Linked DNA regions of Tribolium castaneum. The protein of the gene in region 1 binds, or shares a complex with, the protein of each later gene. Links are inferred from orthologs where the notes say so. Each region holds a gene or a part of one and is shown in the gene's direction. Other genes may lie near its edges.

What was found.
Region 2: the proteins of IntS4 (region 1) and defl are in contact, whole or in part, in a cryo-EM structure (PDB 8RC4), measured with the Homo sapiens proteins. The link is inferred for Tribolium castaneum from reciprocal best matches to the Homo sapiens genes INTS4 and INTS7. Residues at the interface, in NP_291025.3 of Homo sapiens: Glu536, Met539, Asp540, Arg571, His572, Ala574, Tyr575, Asp578, Ser579, Ser610, Phe613, Arg620, Leu624, Leu627, Gly631, Glu634, Leu635, Phe638, Arg641, Asp642, Arg645, Leu646, Glu648, Leu649, Gln650, Lys677, Leu678, Trp679, Asn680, Val681; in NP_056249.1 of Homo sapiens: Lys137, Asn138, His140, His141, Arg144, Gln145, Gly175, His205, His206, Asp207, Ala208, Ser244, Ser245, Leu246, Val247, Lys282, Thr283, Pro284, His285, Thr286, Thr321, Ile322, Lys325, His326, Gly686, Tyr689, Glu704, Gln707, Gln708, Leu711.
Region 3: IntS4 (region 1) and IntS1 share a complex: the UniProt entries of both Homo sapiens proteins name them as parts of the integrator complex. The link is inferred for Tribolium castaneum from reciprocal best matches to the Homo sapiens genes INTS4 and INTS1.

The regions. Positions count from the first base shown.
Region 1 is NC_087398.1:12,615,203-12,621,716, forward strand, and holds the start of IntS4 (integrator complex subunit 4), read left to right. Parts: upstream 1-2,296; 5' UTR 2,297-2,383; coding exon 2,384-2,437; intron 2,438-2,490; coding exon 2,491-3,239; intron 3,240-3,293; coding exon 3,294-3,661; intron 3,662-5,292; coding exon 5,293-5,757; intron 5,758-5,809; coding exon 5,810-6,053; intron 6,054-6,104; coding exon 6,105-6,514. Other genes in the region: neurotrophin receptor-interacting factor 1, read left to right, coding at 361-825. UniProt on the Homo sapiens protein: Component of the integrator complex, a multiprotein complex that terminates RNA polymerase II (Pol II) transcription in the promoter-proximal region of genes.
Region 2 is NC_087397.1:6,154,376-6,160,228, reverse strand, and holds the start of defl (integrator complex subunit 7), read left to right. Parts: upstream 1-1,543; 5' UTR 1,544-1,738; intron 1,739-1,793; 5' UTR 1,794-1,805; coding exon 1,806-1,896; intron 1,897-1,942; coding exon 1,943-2,072; intron 2,073-2,120; coding exon 2,121-2,405; intron 2,406-2,451; coding exon 2,452-2,698; intron 2,699-2,746; coding exon 2,747-2,927; intron 2,928-2,976; coding exon 2,977-3,133; intron 3,134-4,240; coding exon 4,241-4,458; intron 4,459-4,509; coding exon 4,510-4,991; intron 4,992-5,040; coding exon 5,041-5,339; intron 5,340-5,396; coding exon 5,397-5,598; intron 5,599-5,644; coding exon 5,645-5,853. UniProt on the Homo sapiens protein: Component of the integrator complex, a multiprotein complex that terminates RNA polymerase II (Pol II) transcription in the promoter-proximal region of genes.
Region 3 is NC_087397.1:1,925,681-1,931,516, reverse strand, and holds the start of IntS1 (integrator complex subunit 1), read left to right. Parts: upstream 1-1,526; 5' UTR 1,527-1,568; coding exon 1,569-1,985; intron 1,986-2,035; coding exon 2,036-2,311; intron 2,312-2,361; coding exon 2,362-3,114; intron 3,115-3,162; coding exon 3,163-4,028; intron 4,029-4,225; coding exon 4,226-5,836. UniProt on the Homo sapiens protein: Component of the integrator complex, a multiprotein complex that terminates RNA polymerase II (Pol II) transcription in the promoter-proximal region of genes.

The DNA.
Region 1 (6,514 bases):
AAGTACCTGTTACACTTACTCTTTAGAGTTGAAAAGTTTTTTATAAAGTACTCGAAAACTTTGATGATAATTATTAAATTGTACTTAATATTTGGTCAAAATAGAGCTGCACAATCTGACACAATCTACTATTTCACATCTGTTTTAATCTACACCTTTTCCAATAGTATTTCAGAAAGTATCACAATCATGTATTTCAGAAAGAGTTATGTGTAAACATAGATAGGTATTTAATTCATCTTTTCTGAAATATGTAGACAACATCTGCTACTTTCTGAACTACAATTGGAAAAGGTGTAGTCATCTCTGAAAAAGACTGTAAAGACAGTTAATTTTAACCGTATAAATGATAATTTTCAGGTGGCGGAGTCAGTGAACCAATACTGCCAGATCGACACGTCGGCGGAGAACCCCGTGTACAGCATAAGCCCCGACCAGATCGGCATCCTCAACAACCTCAACTCCCCCATCCAGATCGCGACCCCCTCCGTGAGCAGTACGAAGCCAGCGACGAAGAAATACAAGCGTTCAAACAGCAACACCAAAGCACAAACGACGGTACAAAACGCGACCTCGACGAGCAACGGCGTCCGCAAAGAGCGCTCGTTGCACTACTGCAGCATCTGCTCGAAGGGCTTCAAGGACAAGTACTCGGTGAACGTCCACATCCGGACGCACACGGGGGAGAAGCCCTTCGCGTGCAGTCTCTGCGGGAAAAGTTTTAGGCAGAAGGCCCACTTGGCCAAGCACTACCAGACGCACATAGCGCAGAAGAACGCGGCGGCGGCGGGGAACGTCGCCGCCGCCAAGGCCAAGTCGAGGTAGCTTGCTGGGGGCGGCGGAATGGTCCACATTCGTACCTAAATTATTTATTTATTTATTCGTCGGCCGGCGACATTCCGCCAACGCACAAATTTCTCTCGATGAACAGCAACGAAAACACATTTTTGATGCTACTTTGCCAAGTTTTGTTCCTAGCATTGTTTTGTTTTGTTAATTTTTTTATTATATTGTACTCATGTGCTGTGATTATGTGAAATTTATTTTCAAAAGAGATCGGAATTTTTGTGTATTTATTTTTTATCGAATCTGCCTAAAATTTCTTGCCATTTCTGTATTATCGCGTACTTGATAAAATTTAGAATTTTTTAATTTATTTATCGTATGATTAGTTTCTTTGTTACTCGCAGTGTGGAATCTACAATTGTTTGTTTTTTCTGTTCAGTTTTTTTCCTAATAATTAAAAGTATTATCGTTCCACTCTGCTCTAGGTTACTCCGCAGTGCTTCAACGAAGCATTTAATTTAGTTTCAGATGCTTTTAGTTTAATGCTAGCGCTTAGTGATTAGGAAGAAAAAACTTCAGTTTACCATATGTCAAGGCATTATATGACCTTTTTACCTTATAATACTCACTTTGTAAAATAAAAATGTTTATTGTATATTGATTAAATAGTATAATTTGTTGTACACATTACAAATGTGAGTACAAATGCGACCGAGTCGCGTCATTTGTTATTTTCTAATCCTTACCATCTTACAATTGTTGTCTATGTTATAAATGTTTACGTAATGTTACAATTGTTTTGTAAATCGATCATACTTAATGCTCTTGTTTACTAATTTTTGTATTATAATCAGTATTTGTTGATGTTTTTTGTAAATGTTCGTAATTCTTATTTATGACAGTTTGCCATGGTAAAGGGATTTATATTATTATTATGTTTTTTGTTCTATTTTGGATCTCATTCAATTTAGTTTTTTTTGCTTGCTTCTTTGGCCCATAACTGCCAACTTTTTTCCAACTGTGTTCTCTCTGAAAGACAATACTCAAATAGACTACATATACGTACGAAAAATATGTACATCCAGACACTTTATATAAACTTTTTTGTTTATATTCGCCATAGAACATGTTTTATACTCAGATTACGTTATGTATAGTTATATCAGATTTTATCTCCTCTTTATTATTGATTTTATAAAGTATTTTTATACCTAGATTCATATATTTACATTTTATAACTTTATTATATAATTGTGAATTTATTACAAATAAACATTATTTAAAACAAATGAGTTTAACCCGACCCCCAAACCCATCCCAAACGATACGCCATTGGCACAAACAAACCGTCATTCGGTCCAACAACAAAATAGCATTAATTACCTAATTGGACAAAACAATAATTTAGAATTAATGCCAGAAACCGACAAATGCGGTAAATTAATACCTTTACCGCTCATAAATAAAAAAAATCAAAAAACCAAATTTTATGTAATTGTCACCAGGTGGCGGTTGCGTAACTTTTTGACATTTGACAACAATCACAAAATAAAATGTTTAAAAAACGCTAAAATCGGTTAATTACCACATAAACACGATGGCTGCAGTGTTGAAAAAACGCGCTTTGGCCGAATTCACCCAAACAATCCAGGTATGGGCTAAATTTCCCTTTGTCCAAAATGAGGTTATGTTTACATATTCCAGGAAACTGTTCCTTTCCAACCGATTAAAAAACTCAAACTTGTCAAGAAGCCTTCCACAGGCACCGGGAACTCGTCTTTGGCACTTATTAGTTGTCTTGAAGGTTGCAAAAGCAGTAGCGAAGCCCTACGAACTTTGCTTCGTGTCTCTGATACTTTCGAGCTTGAGGCTTCAGATATTCCCGAAGCAGTTAAAAAACTGAGCGATCATTTTAAGAATGAGCCAGAGTCGGCCGTTAGAGTAAAAATTTTGTCACTTTTGTGCGACATTGGGCATCTACCCAACGCTGATGTTGTGTCCATTATTGACGAGACGATTTTGTTGCTTAAAAATGACCATTCACATAAAGTTATCGCTCAGGGGATGAATACCGTGCTTAAATTAGGGAAGCTGGTCTCTGATAATGTCATCGCTTTGCATCAGAAACTGGTAGAAGTGGCGAAAAGTTACTTGAAAGATGTCAGTCATGCTGTCAAGAGGAAATGTCTAGAGATCATTGGCGTGCATACGCCGGTTTGTACGGGGGCAGAGGCGGAGAAATTAATGGTTTTGATTAGTTCGTACTTTAACCACGACGACGCCAGGGTGCGTAGTCAGGCTTTTTCGACGATTATCACCCTACATGAGCGCAATTTTAAAATAAATCCGGACATTTATATAGATGTTTGCGATGCCTTAAAGGACGACTACGAAATTGTCCGTCAAGTCGTTCTCAAGTTAGTGTGTCTTTTGGGCAACACGTTTCCGGAAAAGTAGGCTTAGCCTAAACCCTCTCTTCTATTTACATTTAATTGAAAAAATTTCAGTGAGGTTGTACTTCCGGGAAGTGAACACGAAATCCGTCTCATAGACGACGCTTTCGGTAAAGTTTGCAACTCGATTTCTGATTTATCAATCCATGTTCGAACCTTGGCGGCTAAACTATTGGGAACGATGAAACAAGTCAGTGCGAAATTTCTCAACCAAACTCTTGATAAAAAATTAATGTCTAATATGAGGCGCAAAAGGACGGCTCATGAGTTGGCTTGGGAAAATGTAACGAGTGGAGAATGGGCGAGTGGGAAAAAATGGGCCGATGACGCCCCCAGGGAAATCCTCGACGCTGACAGCATCAATTTGATGAGCAGTGGGGCGTGTGGGGCCTTCGTGCACGGCTTGGAGGACGAGTTTATGGGTAAATGACGAGGCAAAGCCGAGTGTCATAATTTTTATCTACAATTATCTACTTTTTTTTGACTTATTGGTAATAATACAGTTGTGGACTTTTAGGTAGTGGTAAAGAACTTTAGATCAATTTTTTTTTAATTTCTTTGATCATTAAGCAGATATCTGTTAAAAAAAATCATCAATTATGTGCCAATTAGTGTATTATGGTATTTAAAAAATTTAATAAGCTCACAAATTAGATAGTAAATTAAATTTGACATCATTGGGAATAAAAGAACAATGAATGAAACTGTTCCTAAGGAAAACAAATAGAAAATATACAGGATGGTTCAGTGAAGACAGTTCACCCAAGTTTTCGATGTTTGGACTCGATTTTTACAATTTATGGGGTTCATAAAGACTAAAAAAATTATGGCCATTTAGAACATTCAAATAAATAATTTAATAAATAAACTGTAATTAAAAAAAAGAAATTTTTAGAAAACTTATACCAAATAAAAAAAATAACACTTGGTGGAAGTGCGGGCAAGACGGGGTATGAGCTTTAAATAATAAACTAATTGACTAATAATCATTTTTTGTACGTGGCGAAGCCCAGTTAAGACAGCTTTTAATTGTAGATTTTTAATTGAACGATACCACCATGCCTTTTGCGAGTTTTATGAAAAAAACCTGTTTTTGGCGATTTTCTTATGATTTTTTTCACTTTCTTTAGTACGTGTCTGTTTTGTTAATAACAAAATTTCAAATTGCTTTTATGGTTATTCATATGTCAATGATTTTTCTAACAGGTTAACATCTATTTATTTGTAGATGACAACATAGTTTTTGGAAGTTAATTTTCTAACACAATTTGCCGTAAGAGGGCAAGACGGGCTGAGACCTTGCTCGTAACAGTAATATGTAAAACTCCTCTCTTCATAAAAAACCTTAAACCATAACAAAGTTTGGAAAATAAGCAAAAGAATAAAAATTACAGAGCTAAAGGAAAACTGAAAAATCTGGGGTTGATAAAAAGAGTGTTCAAAAAGAAAAAGATTTTAAGATTAGACCATCAATCGAGAGCAACAGTGAAATTGAAATTAGGGGTACCCCATCTTACCCACAAGGACTTTTTCTACTTTGTTTCACTTTTATATTTAATAAAGGTTCCAAATAAAACTTATTAATCACAAAAAACTAATTACCAAGGATAATTAATAATACAAAAATTTTATAGAGCTTCAAACGTTAAGTACCCCGTCTTGCCCGCACTTTCCCTATTGTAAAGAGGTTTTAATAGATTTTAAAATAACATCATAATTAACCCCTGTTTCCATTAAAAAAATATATAATTACAGGCAGCCCCTCTTTGGGGGTTGAAGTGGTACGAACACAAAGTAAATATTTAAGTGTCCCCCTTGGATATAAAATCGCACTGTCTTAGCGTTTTGAGTTAAGTGACTCCAAACGTTAAAAATTTGGGTGTATTGGTTTCAGTGGGCCACCCTATATATTAAATATTAAAAATCAAGTTGCTTGAAAAAAAAACATTTTTAAACTTTACTGAATATCTCCTATCAATATCACCATACGAAAGTTAGTCCGACACTTTTGAATCATCCTGTATTGTACTAATGATTGATTAATATTTATCAGAGGTGCGTTCCGCCGCCGTCGAATCACTCTGCGAGCTCTCCATTCGCAACCCCCAATTCGCAAATTTATCCCTCGACTTCCTGGTCGATATGTTCAACGACGAAATCGAGGATGTGAGACTCAAAGCCATTGATAGTTTACGCCGAATATCCGAACACATTATTCTAAGAGACGACCAGTTGGAGACCATCTTAGGGGCCCTTGAGGACTTTTCGCAGGATGTCCGAGAGGGCCTCCACCACATGTTGGCATCGTGTAAAATGTCAACAACAGCCGGGCTCAAAATGTGCGTTGAAAAACTATTAGATAATCTCAAAAAATATCCGCAAGATAAGCGATCGACCTATCGGTGTTTACAACGGGTGGGGGCACAGCACCCCGAATTGGTGCTCCCTCTAGTGCCACAATTGTTAAACATACACCCGTTTTTCGATACTGCTGAACCGGACGTGGAAAATCCGCAATGTATGGGCTTAAGCAAATTTTTACGTTATCCGGATTAAACATTTTTTTGCAGATATTTGCGTCCTGATTTTGATTTTAAATGCGGCAAAGTTTTCACCTACTATAATCCCACTTCTGGAACCCCACACCTTACGTCATTATGCGTACATAAGTGACACAATGCCGTCCCTAGTTCCGGTTTTAAGTCTCCCGGAATCGAGTTGTAACACAATTAGCAGACCACAAACGGTCCCGGAAAGTCTGGAGTTTCTTAACAATGTTATAAGCAACTTAGATTTGGCCGAAAATACATTACGGTGAGGCACAAGCTTGGCAAGTCTGTTACTAATTGTAAAATTTATTTTTAGAGTTCAGACGACACTTTTACAAACCGCTAAAGAACACTTGAACCGTTTGAGTGAAATTGACTCGTCGGTCGCAGGGACGGCTCAATTCACATCGCTTTACATTGGGGCCCAATTAATAATGTCCCAGATATTGGAAAAGGGTTATTGGTTAAACCCGGGTACTTTGGCCACCCAACAGGCCAACAACCTCAAAACTAACATAACAAACCTTCTGGAGTATTGTCTCAAGTTGCAGTTTTTCTTCGTAGGGCTTAGCCCTGTGGAGGAATGTGCCGTGAAAATGTTCCGCCTGCGGGCCCTAGCCCTTAATTTAGTCTACATAGTTAAAGGGAGCAACTCCTCAGCTTTAGCCCCCTGCCACCACTTCCTCACCATCGTCGAAGACATGCAGAGGGACCTACAAGTTGCAG
Region 2 (5,853 bases), on another chromosome or scaffold:
TAAAGGGCAAAAATGAACTTTTCGTGTTAAACATTTTGATAAAAAAGGGCGTTTAATTGTTTATAAAGGGTGTGTTAACGAGTGTTAAGTTTACCAGGTAATAAAACATAATGTACAACAACTTTTCTATAAAAGCATTTTGCAAAATTTTTATTCATTATTTTCACTATTTTTCTCATTTCCTTTGTACAAACGAACCTGTGATATGAAATTTTGGTGTCAAAATTAGTAGTATCGCCACAAGTTGTGTTTTTAAATCTCCAGAAAATTCAGTTTTAAAAGTGAGGTTATGTTATCATTTGGAAATATGAAATCTTTCACTATTATGGATTTTGTGTCTGTTTCTGCTCTTTTAGAACGTTATTAATTATTATTAAATTGAATTGAAAGGCAGATAAATCTACCTTTGAGTCAATGATATAAACTTCAGTGTGATTTATTGAAATGTATATAGGGCACAAATAAACTTTTCGTGTTAAACATTTTGATTAAAAAGGGTATTTAATCGTTTATAAAGGGCATGTTAAGGTGTGTTAAGTTTACCACATAATAAAACATAAAGTACAACAACTTTTCTATAAAAGCATTTTGCAAAACTTTTATTCATTATTTTCACTATTTTCCTCTTTTCATTAGTACAAACGAGCCGGTGAATGAAATTTTGGTGTGAAAATTAGTGGTATTGCCACAAATTGTGTTAATTTTAGGTCTCCAGAAAATTCGGTTTTAAAAGTAGGGTTATGTTATCATTTGGAAATGTTAAATCTTTCATTTTTATGGATTTCGTGTTCGTTTCTGCTCTTTTAGAGCGTTTTTAATTTTGATTGAATATATTATGGGCAGATAAATCTACCTTTGAGTCAACGACTTAAACTTCAGTGTGATTTATTGAAATGTATATAGGACAAAATTGAACTTTTCGTGTTAAACATTTTGATTAAAAAGGGTGTTTAATCGTTTATAAAGGGCGTGTTGACGTGTGCTAAATTTACCACGTAATAAAACATAAAGTACAACAACTTTTCTATAAGAGCATTTTGCAAAATTCTTATTCATTATTTTTACTATTTTCCTCCTTTTCTGTAATAACTCATTCGCTTTTCGGGGGCCATTCTGAATACTGTAATGAATTTTTAAAGATAAAGTTTGCGAAATATGAAAATTTTAAAGAATTTTTAAAAATTCATTAAGATCTCAAGGGGACTTTATCCGAACATGATTTTTTTACAGTCGAAGGCCCTATCGAAGGGCTTAATCCCCTGCAAAAATAAAGAAAATTGCAGGATATAAAGGGGGTGAAAAAAAACAGTTTGCGTTGCTTGAATATGAGAATAAAAAATGCAGAAATTAAATACAGGAGATGTTCTACAAATGTGAGATGCAAGTCAGCGTAACAGCTTATTGATGTTTTTATAATGATTTACAATTATTTTGATAATTTGCCTGGTGTGAACTTGGCTGTAGAAAACGAGAATAGTGGGGACATGGTGCTAGCTCCATGCACGCAGCGATTGTCTGGTCGACTGTAATGTTCTTGGTGCCAGCACCATTTTTTTCTCTCTTATTCTATGTTCCCAACATAGGTTAAACTAACCTAAAAACTATGCTAAAAACACCAAAAAATAAAAGTTTGGATGTTGAACGCGTTTATTGATTTTGTGACATGAATGCCGATGTGGCCCCCACTTTGTAATTTTCTCACGAGTTGATGACCCAACTGGCGTGAAATATTTCACCCGTAAGATTAAAAAAATTCCAGGTTATATTTGTTTTGCCTACTAACAACATTCCAGCGATTTTCCAAAATGCTGAGCGTCCGCGTGAGTGCCTTCAATGAAAACGGTCTCGGAGAGCCCGAGCAAGACGCCAATTCGGCTTTAACCGAGCTTGACAAAGGTTCAAAGCGCGGTATTGAGTGCCTTCTTTAAAAGTGTCTTTTTAGGGCTCCGGTCCGGTAAAGTGGGCGAGCAATGCGAAGCAATTGTTCGTTTTCCAAAGTTATTCGAAAAATATCCTTTCCCCATCCTCATCAATGCGTCATTACTGAAATTAGCGGAAGTTTTTCGCATGGGGTACAACTCTCTACTGTAAATAACTCTATTTAATGGCACTGTTTTTAGTAACAATTTCCTAAGACTGTGCGTGTTGCGTGTGTGCCAACAAAGCGAAAAACATCTAGATAAGATTTCGAGTGTTGATGAGTTCGTTAGAAGGATTTACAGTGTGATTCATAGTAATGACCCTATTGCTCGTGCTGTGACGCTGAGGACGTTTGGGGCCGTGGCTGCCATCATTCCGGAGCGACAGCAAGTGCACCACAGTATTAGAAGCAGTCTAGATTCTCACGATAATGTGGAAGTCCAAGCTGCAATTTACGCCGCTATTCAGTTTGCCGCCCAATCAAAGTAGTAAAAGTTGCTCAGAATTCATTATTTTAACAATAATTTGTAGAACATTCGCCGTAAGCATGTGCAACAAAGTCTCTGACATGATCCAAGGCCAGTCAACGCCTGCCAGCATGAAATTACAATTAATCCCAATTTTACAATACATGCACCATGATACCAACACGGCTGCGATGGTGAGGACACTCTGTATCGATTTACTGCCAAGTTATCCAGCCAAAGACTTCGTTTTGGTCACTCTAAACACACTTACCCAGTTGGCAACGGCGACTCTAGTTGACGTCCCGAGTCAAGTAATTTCATTAATTTGTCTTCCAATATTCTCCAAAACTGTCTTTTAGGTCAATTTACTGTTGCAATATTTACGCAAAGACTTGGGGAGTGAAGTCAAGTCGAGATGTTTGCAATTTTTGTACCAGTTCGCCAAACCGGGGGCTCATTTGTGGCCCCCGGGGGCCACCAACAATATCATAGATTTTACTTTACACACGCATCAAGCCCGGTTATTAACCCTGGCTCTTGGTAAGACGATTTGAGGTCTTGTTTTGCAAACTGATTAATTGATGATTAGGTGTGATTCAAGTCTTGACTGAATCGCCCCGAATGTGTCATGATTATCGCGACAGCAATTCAAAATTGAGAGAATTGTGTATGAAACATTGTTATTCGTCACAGCCTACAGTCGCAGTGCAAGCTATACAAATTTTGACACAACTTTTATGCTACTGGTGAGTTTTCTCATAGGTACGGAGGGCAAAACTAAGGGGCGAAATGATGTTTAAAATCGTTGTCTTAAATTATTTGATGCGGGAATGTTAAGACTTAATTTTTTAGCAAGCTGTGAAACAAATAAAATTTGCCCAAACAAGAGATTTTTTTAATTTGAAATTTGTTCCATATTTATTTCAGTATCGAATTCGCCGTAATTTATTTATTAATAATTATAGAATTATAGAAGTTTTTTGAAGCTAAGGAGATGATAAATCTATAAATAAAAAATAAAATAAGTACAAGGTGTTAATAATACCATATACAGTGTGATTTTTAAAAAACGAGCTGCCCTGAGTATCAGAAAATAAACAAAAAATTAAAACATCCCGAGACAGGTCAATTTTTATTTAACCAGAGACACCTTTTAGTGTTTTATTTGACTCACTTTGACTTTTCAGCTTGATTTTAATTATGTTAATTAGCGTTTTCATACAAATTATAAAACTAATAAATTCAAATGATCACATGGTACAGACAACTCTTCAAAATACCTCAAATAAAGGTATTTTCAACTCTTATTAGAGATTGGAAATGTGCCATTAAATTTTTAGATAATAATGTAATCTTTCTAAAAAGAAAAAACTAAAGACTGACCCCTAAATCCGGATTGTTTCCTTTTTTTCTCCCTTGAAATCCTATCCAGTAGCATACACTAACCACAATCAACACACACTAGCCAACGAATTGTGTAAGAATATGGATAACACGTTACCAGTACAAAATATACTATTTGAGATAACTAATTATTACGAGGTGGAAAACAAAGAAGTTTGTCTGATTCACTGATTTTTGTTACGCCTACGTCACTTTTTTTTTGTTAAAACTTATTTGTTGAGCAAAAATTCCAGAGAAACCATTTTAACGAAATCTTAATAAGTATTTGTAATTACACTATTCTAATACACATTTAAAATAAAGGCAATTTTTCTGTATTTTTTTTTAATTATTTGATTCTTGCTTCAAATTAAATTGTCGTTTTATTGTGCAAAATTTTAAAACTGACTTTTACACCTGTCGCCCCCTAATAGTTTAGTCCTCCGTTACCCAGGAAGAACAAAAAACAGTCGTATTTTTAGCTACAAGGAGAAACTGGAGACTGAAAGAGCGGACGAAGTGATTTCGGCCCTCGAAACTTTAATTTTGCTTTTGACTTTTTCGAACGACAAACACCCAAAACAGCTCAAGCTGGCACTGAAATGTGCTGTTCGACTGTGCGAAGCGCGGAGAGAATATTGCGAGACGTTTGTGGAACTGCTCGGCACTCGCCTCGACAACATACACAGTATGTTATTTCAATTATGGTTCAAGAACAAATCAAATCGATTTTTTACAGACGACTGTACCATCGTCATCTGTGAGACTTTGGGGGCTATTGGGGGCCTCAAACCCGACACTTTACTCTCGCTTCTCGCCAGTATTCTCAACTTATTGCGCGCTTTATCCGAAATCGACCAACCAACGGAGCAACAAACGCGCATCAAAATCATGCTTTGTACGCTGGTTTTCCAAAGCATGTCTGACTACACCTGGAACGAAGAAACCGAAAGTGCGATTTTTTGCGTTATTGAAAATAACAATCTGTGGGCGAATTATTGCATAGCGCGGGCTGCGGTCAGATACGGCCACCACAAAATCGCAAATACGATTTTCAACCAACTGACGGAACAAGTCAGTTCTGAACATTTCCATTTCTGGTTGGTTTGTTTGAAGGAAATGTCGGAAGCCGAGTCGTTTTTACTCACTTCGGACGATAGTTTGGTAAATCGCTTGGAACGGGCGATCATACATTACAATAAAGCCATCGCGGCTTTGAAGGTTCCTGTTTTACCGACTTTTGGTTTGTGATTGTTACGCACTGTTTCAGGCGGCTAGTACCCCCTCACATAATTTACAATTCCAAGCGGAGTATATGCGAATCCGTACAGAGTTTCTCCAGTCTTTGATCCAACTCATTTATACTTGCAACACCCTGTGTATAGTCCCGCCGCCTGCGATTGCCGCTACTATCGTCCAAAACACGCGAGATGAGTATCAAAGACACGGATATATCACGAATCAGTTGAGAAAGTGTGTGAAAGAGTTTAAAAATTGTGGCGACCTCTACTGGAAGCTGTACCAAACTGCGTTCGACGCTGACCCTGCCACCTTAGAAAATATGCAAATGTGTGTTCGTTTGTTTTTTTCTGTACATTTAGTTATTTTTAACGTGTGTTTTTGCAGTTTGCAACAAATGTGTGTGCTTGTGGAGCAAAGCGTGGAAAGTATTTGTGTCAACGGATCAAAAATCCGTGACGATCCGATTGAATTCGGATCGCGTGAAACACGTCTCGAATCGCAACAGTTGACAAAAGCTTGTTGCAATGCTTTAACAGTTGCGCACGCTCTTGATGATGGCTCTTCAATGACTACAATAACGCACCGGGTACTTAAATTCGCTTCGTTTTTGTGTGTTTTATTTAAAATTGTAGCACATTGAGTTGTTGAAGAAAATCTGCGAAGTGTTGTCAAATGCTTCGTTGCCTATTCCACGGTATTTCTTCCAAGTTTTGCAATGTACCAGCGTCAAGTTGGCCATTTCACCCCAACCTCGCGTCATGGGTGAATTCATAAGTGTCCAAGCCAATTCCCAGTTGGCTGTGAAAGTCGAAGGGGTGATTCAACACGGCATGAAACCGGG
Region 3 (5,836 bases), on another chromosome or scaffold:
ATTTTATTTTTAAAAAACGTCTTTTTTATTGTTGAATTGGTGGTCAAAAGGGCATTGTGTGACAAAACCGATTTCGGGGTGAAATGGGGCGAAAACTACAATAATGCATTTGCGGAGCTGAACAACATAACAATTTTTAACATTGTTCCGACAACTAAAAGGCCATAATTTTATTTTTAAAAAACGTCTTTTTTATTGTTGAATTGGTGGTCAAAAGGGCATTGTGTGACAAAACCGATTTCGGGGTGAAATGGGGCGAAAACTACAATAATGCATTTGCGGAGCTGAACAACATAACAATTTTTAACATTGTTCCGACAACTAAAAGGCCATAATTTTATTTTTAAAAAACGTCTTTTTTATTGTTGAATTGGTGGTCAAAAGGGCATTGTGTGACAAAACCGATTTTGGGGTGAAATGGGGCGAAAACTGCAACAGTGCATTTGCGGAGCTGGGCAACATAACAATTTTTAACATTGTTCCGACAACTAAAAGGCCATAATTTTATTTTTAAAAAACGTCTTTTTTATTGTTGAATTAGTGGTCAAAAGGGCATTGTGTGACAAAACCGATTTCGGGGTGAAATGGGGCGAAAACTGCAACAGTGCATTTGCGGAGCTGGGCAACATAACAATTTTTAACATTGTTCCGACAACTAAAAGGCCATAATTTTATTTTTAAAAAACGTCTTTTTTATTGTTGAATTGGTGGTCAAAAGGGCATTGTGTGACAAAACCGATTTCGGGGTGAAATGGGGCGAAAACTACAATAATGCATTTGCGGAGCTGAACAACATAACAATTTTTAACATTGTTCCGACAACTAAAAGGCCATAATTTTATTTTTAAAAAACGTCTTTTTTATTGTTGAATTGGTGGTCAAAAGGGCATTGTGTGACAAAACCGATTTTGGGGTGAAATGGGGCGAAAACTGCAACAGTGCATTTGCGGAGCTGGGCAACATAACAATTTTTAACATTGTTCCGACAACTAAAAGGCCATAATTTTATTTTTAAAAAACGTCTTTTTTATTGTTGAATTAGTGGTCAAAAGGGCATTGTGTGACAAAACCGATTTCGGGGTGAAATGGGGCGAAAACTACAATAATGCATTTGCGGAGCCATAAATATTGAAATTAGGTGAAAAAGTGGGAAAAATTAAAAAGCAATTTGTGGTAAATAATTGAGTTTTTCGCTATTAGCATAGTGACTTTCTTAAAATGTCATTTTTAAGAGGGTGTTTAGTGTTTTTTCGGATTTTTATTTTATTAAACGGTTTCAAAGCTGACAACCAAACATACATCTAAGCAAACTGAAACTTATTTTGCTAGTCTGAAACTGGCTTCATGTTCGGGTCTCTTCGGAAATTCGAGGAGCTGGTTTTGGGAGCTGTCTTCACACAAATCAAAACCTGTTAGTCTGTGCACCAACACCATAGAATAAGAGAGAGATGGTTATTGAAAAATGGTTGGTGCAACTGGCAACTTATCTCTTATCTGTCAAAATTTTTTTCTTGTTTTGACTGCGAAAAAACCAAAATTGTTGCATTGTTTGTGATAATTGGTCCACCATGGATCGGAATAAACCGGGCCAGAGCCAAGCCACTCGTGGCCCCAAGGCCAAAATAACGCAACAACCCCCTGACTTGTTCATCGCTTTGGGGGCCAAACAATCCTCCCCTCGAGATGACCCCAAACGTAGCGTTCCGCTCCCTAAAACCAGCACTGCCTCCCATTTACAAACAAGTAGCAGTAAAGTGACGGATAAATTGAAGCGTGAAGGGACTTCGTCTAGTCTTACAGTGCCCCCTTCGAAGAAAATGAAAGTTGCGATACCGGGAAGCCGGCCAGGGCCCTCCACTAGCAGCATACTACCTGTGGAGAGGATGGGGGTTGAGCCGTGGGAAGCCCTGGCTGTGGACTGTGAGACAAGCGATTTGTTCGAGAGTATTATGGCGGCTGTTAATGCCGGCAATACTGATAAAGCTGTAATTTTTTCTTGATTGTGTTTAGGGGTGAAATTAATTGGTTGCTTCAGGTTGGGTATGTTTTGGGGGTCATTCGCTCGTTGAAGACTCAAAGGACTAAGATTTGTAAAGTGGTTTATCTGAGTCTTTTACTGACTTGCAGCTGCAAACCCCAGTTATTCACTAATGAGAATATCATAGCGGCTATTGTGAATGTTCTGCGGCGTGATGTAACTTCCGGTTTTAAGGGCGTTAACAAAACAAATTCTTACTTCCACATGCTGTTTATTAATTTATTAACTCACGCCTTCACCGATGTCGCCCAATGGCCGGAAATTTTCGTCAAAGTAAGTCGGAAAAAAAATTAAAAATGTTTCAGAATCACAATTATTCGTAGATTTATGTGGAGGACGCGGTGGCCGATCGCATTTTTATCGACAATCCGTACTGTAAACCATTCGTTGATAACATAATCACGGCGTTTAACACCAAATTGCCCCCTTCCTCGCTCCTCAAATCCGAGACATGGAATTCCACGGCTAGAGACACTTCTAGCCCCCTCACAATCACAAGCGCTGACGACGACACCAAAAGCGAAGTGATTCTCGAGCATAAAGCCGCAGTTGAAAACTGGAACGTCAAAGTGTATCCCCGGTTCACCCAAACGCAGGAAAACGTCGAAAAAATCGTCCTTGAAGCCATCAAGGAACAACTAGCAAGGCGCCAACAACCGGAAACCATCACGAAAAACTTCGTCCGCTTCTTGAGTATCGCTTCAGGACTTGTGGAAATTCGCATAATTGCCGTTTCGCGCATCGAGAGTTGGCTACACAACCATAAGTTGATGAAATCAGCGCAGGAACTCCTCGCCTATTTGTGCTACAATTGCTCGGCGAGTTCGCAAAGAGACTTGGAAATAATAGCGCAGCTGAGCAAGCTCAGACTGAAGAACAAACCCATGGTTAACTACTTCAACAACTGTCTCCGGGAGATGGTTTACTCGTTCCCGGAGAACTTGTACCCCCTTTTGAAATACACGATTTACAACGAACTGTCCAATGCCCGAAATTCCAACAATTTAATCGTCGTGGGGGCCCTGTTTCAGGTCGCACCTGAGGCAAGTGCCGACGCTTTCGCCGACATTTGCCTGGTGAGTACACCGATAATCAAAAACAAATTGCATTAAAACTGTCCCCAGGAGTTGCTCCTAAACAAAGACGATTATTTGCGTTCGCTGCGGGCGCTTTTGAAAGAAATCACCCGAGTCCTCCGGCACGATTTCAACTTGTTAAGCATCGTGCATTCGCTCGTTCGCGAGCGCAAAGAGTTTGCGAATAACGTGCGCGAGTCGGAATTTCGCGAGCGAATTTTTCTATCACTGGCCGACCTGGTCTGCATGTGTATGCTGCTGTGCGTCAGCCCTCAGGTCCGCGACGCCTCAACGCAAAACAAACGCGACGTCACGGTCCTGAAAGCCTTCCAGAAACAAGTCAGTAACATACAGCGGGAGGCAGTGACTTGGCTCAACGACTCCGCGCTAAGGGTTTTCCGGCCAAGTCTCAACGACTTCCACCACGTTCTACTCAAAGTCTTGTTCCTCGAACAAGCGGAGCATTACTACAAGGTCGACTCGTGGCCTGGCGAAAACGAGAGGAACTTGTTTTTGAGGCTTACGAGTGAGGTTCCCTTGCTTCAGGCGACTCTTTTGAGGATTTTGCTGATCGGGAACTCGAAAGAACACCCGATTAGTCCCACGGAAGCGATTGAAATTAGCGATCAGTTGATTAGAAGGGCGGCGAATTTGCCCCAAGACTGCGCCCCGCCCTTGGTCGTTGATAATTTGGAGATAATCGGGATTTATTTCAACTTGTGCAGCTATAATTATCCGGAGAATATCACGCTGCCGGCGGGGTATGTGCCCCCCAGTTTGGCCATTTCTGGGCTCTATTGGAAAGTTTGGCTCATTTTGCTGATCATAGCGGCTCATAATCCGGTCACTTTTGGGAACGAGGTCTGGAACAAATACCCAACGTTGCGCATGTTCATGGAAATGTGCATAACAAAGTTAGTATCTCTTGAAGGTCAGGATATGAAACGACGTACAAATAAAACCGTTGTTCCATCACAGTCAGCTCAACTTTTCTACATTTTTTTCCAAATAATTTGTGAATTTTTACTATATTTTTTGAGTGCGATTTTGTATCTCGTTTCGCTCCGACCTCCAATCCCCGTATACTTGACCCTAACTATCCCCATTTTAGTCACTTTTCGTTTCCCCCGCCCACCATGACCTCCCTGGACGAAGACTACCAGTCCCGCGAGCAGCAAATCCTCGCCCTTGAGAAGCAAAAAATCCTGGAATTTGAATCACACCTCGCGGCCGCGAGCACTAAAATGGAAATCACCGAACAGAGCAGTCTCCTATTGCCCCAATTAATGGAGTTGCGGCCTGAGGGCGAAGCCCGAAGGCCCCCCCAAGCCGTCCTCGACCAGCTCCAACACTTGAACAACACGCATCGCATGGGACATTTATTGTGCCGCTCGCGGAACCCCGATTTTCTATTGGACATTATGTCGCGGCAAGGGGGCACCGCGCATATGCCGTGGCTGGCCGAGCTGGTGCACAATTCGGAGGGGGCGTTGGCCCACCTGCCTGTGCAATGTCTGTGCGAGTATCTCCTGTCGACGACACCGACGGAGAAATTGACGAAACATGGCCAGCTTTTGGCGCATTTGCGGACGGTGGTTAATGAGAATGATCCGCAGACTGCCTGTGAGGTTTTGGAGTATTTGTTCAGGCGGTTGACGTCCGATCATGGGGCGAGTCGGACGCAGGCCACCAAAGGCTTGAATTTGATTTTGGCCGAAGGGGAGGAAAGCGAGACGAATAATACGAACTGGTTGACGAGTTACATAACACATTTTCCACACTTTACGATGATTAAACCAGTGCTTATACAGTTTTTGCGGCAAGCCTTGCAAATTGAGACAAATCCGGCGCGGGTTTCGAGTTATATCAATTTTTTGGCAACGCAGGATTGTAACGATTCGTTTACGGAACTGCACGAATTAATCGCCGATTTATCGTCGGTTATTATCGAGAGACACAGCGTGGCTTCGTACGTGTTGCCAGGGCCGGACAACCAAACTTTGAAGCACCTTTTGACCATTTTTGCGAGTCATATTCAGAAAGCGCAGGAATTCTCGGAGGATATTTACAGTTCGGTGCAAAACTACAGCGAGTATGTTTTGGTGACTTGGGTGACTGGGGAACAATGCCACATGCAGACTTTAGTAATACACGCAGCTATTGTGTTACTGACTTACGGTCCTTTGGAGAATTTTGAGCCGTTCGAGACTTTGTTAAATTTTTGGTTTCCGGCGAACGCCGAACAACCACAAGCCTACACACCTGATACAAACGAACGAACGTCGTATCTCCCTGATTGGATGAAACTGCGGATGATTCGGTCAAACGTCCCACGATTGGTTGACGCAGCCATTGAAAAATTAGAGCCGCCAAAGTTGGTCCTTTTTATACAATCGTTCGGAATACCGACAAATTCCATCAGTAAATTGCTGAGTACTTTGGACAAAGCCACACTTTTGGACCCGAAACTGGTCGTGGACTCAGTTTTGGACAAAACTTACATGATTCAATTGGTGGAAGTCCAAAACAAAAGAGGCGCAGTGGGTGGTGACACCTTTGTCAAGGCTATCGAGATGCAAATGCCCGTTGTACAAGACATTGATGTTAAAATCGAAATCGAGAGTAAAAAACAATTACCCAACTTAGTAAAAACCCAACAGATTGTCACAAATAGCGGCGATATTATCAATTTGTTGAATAATATTTTTAGCCCAAACTATGG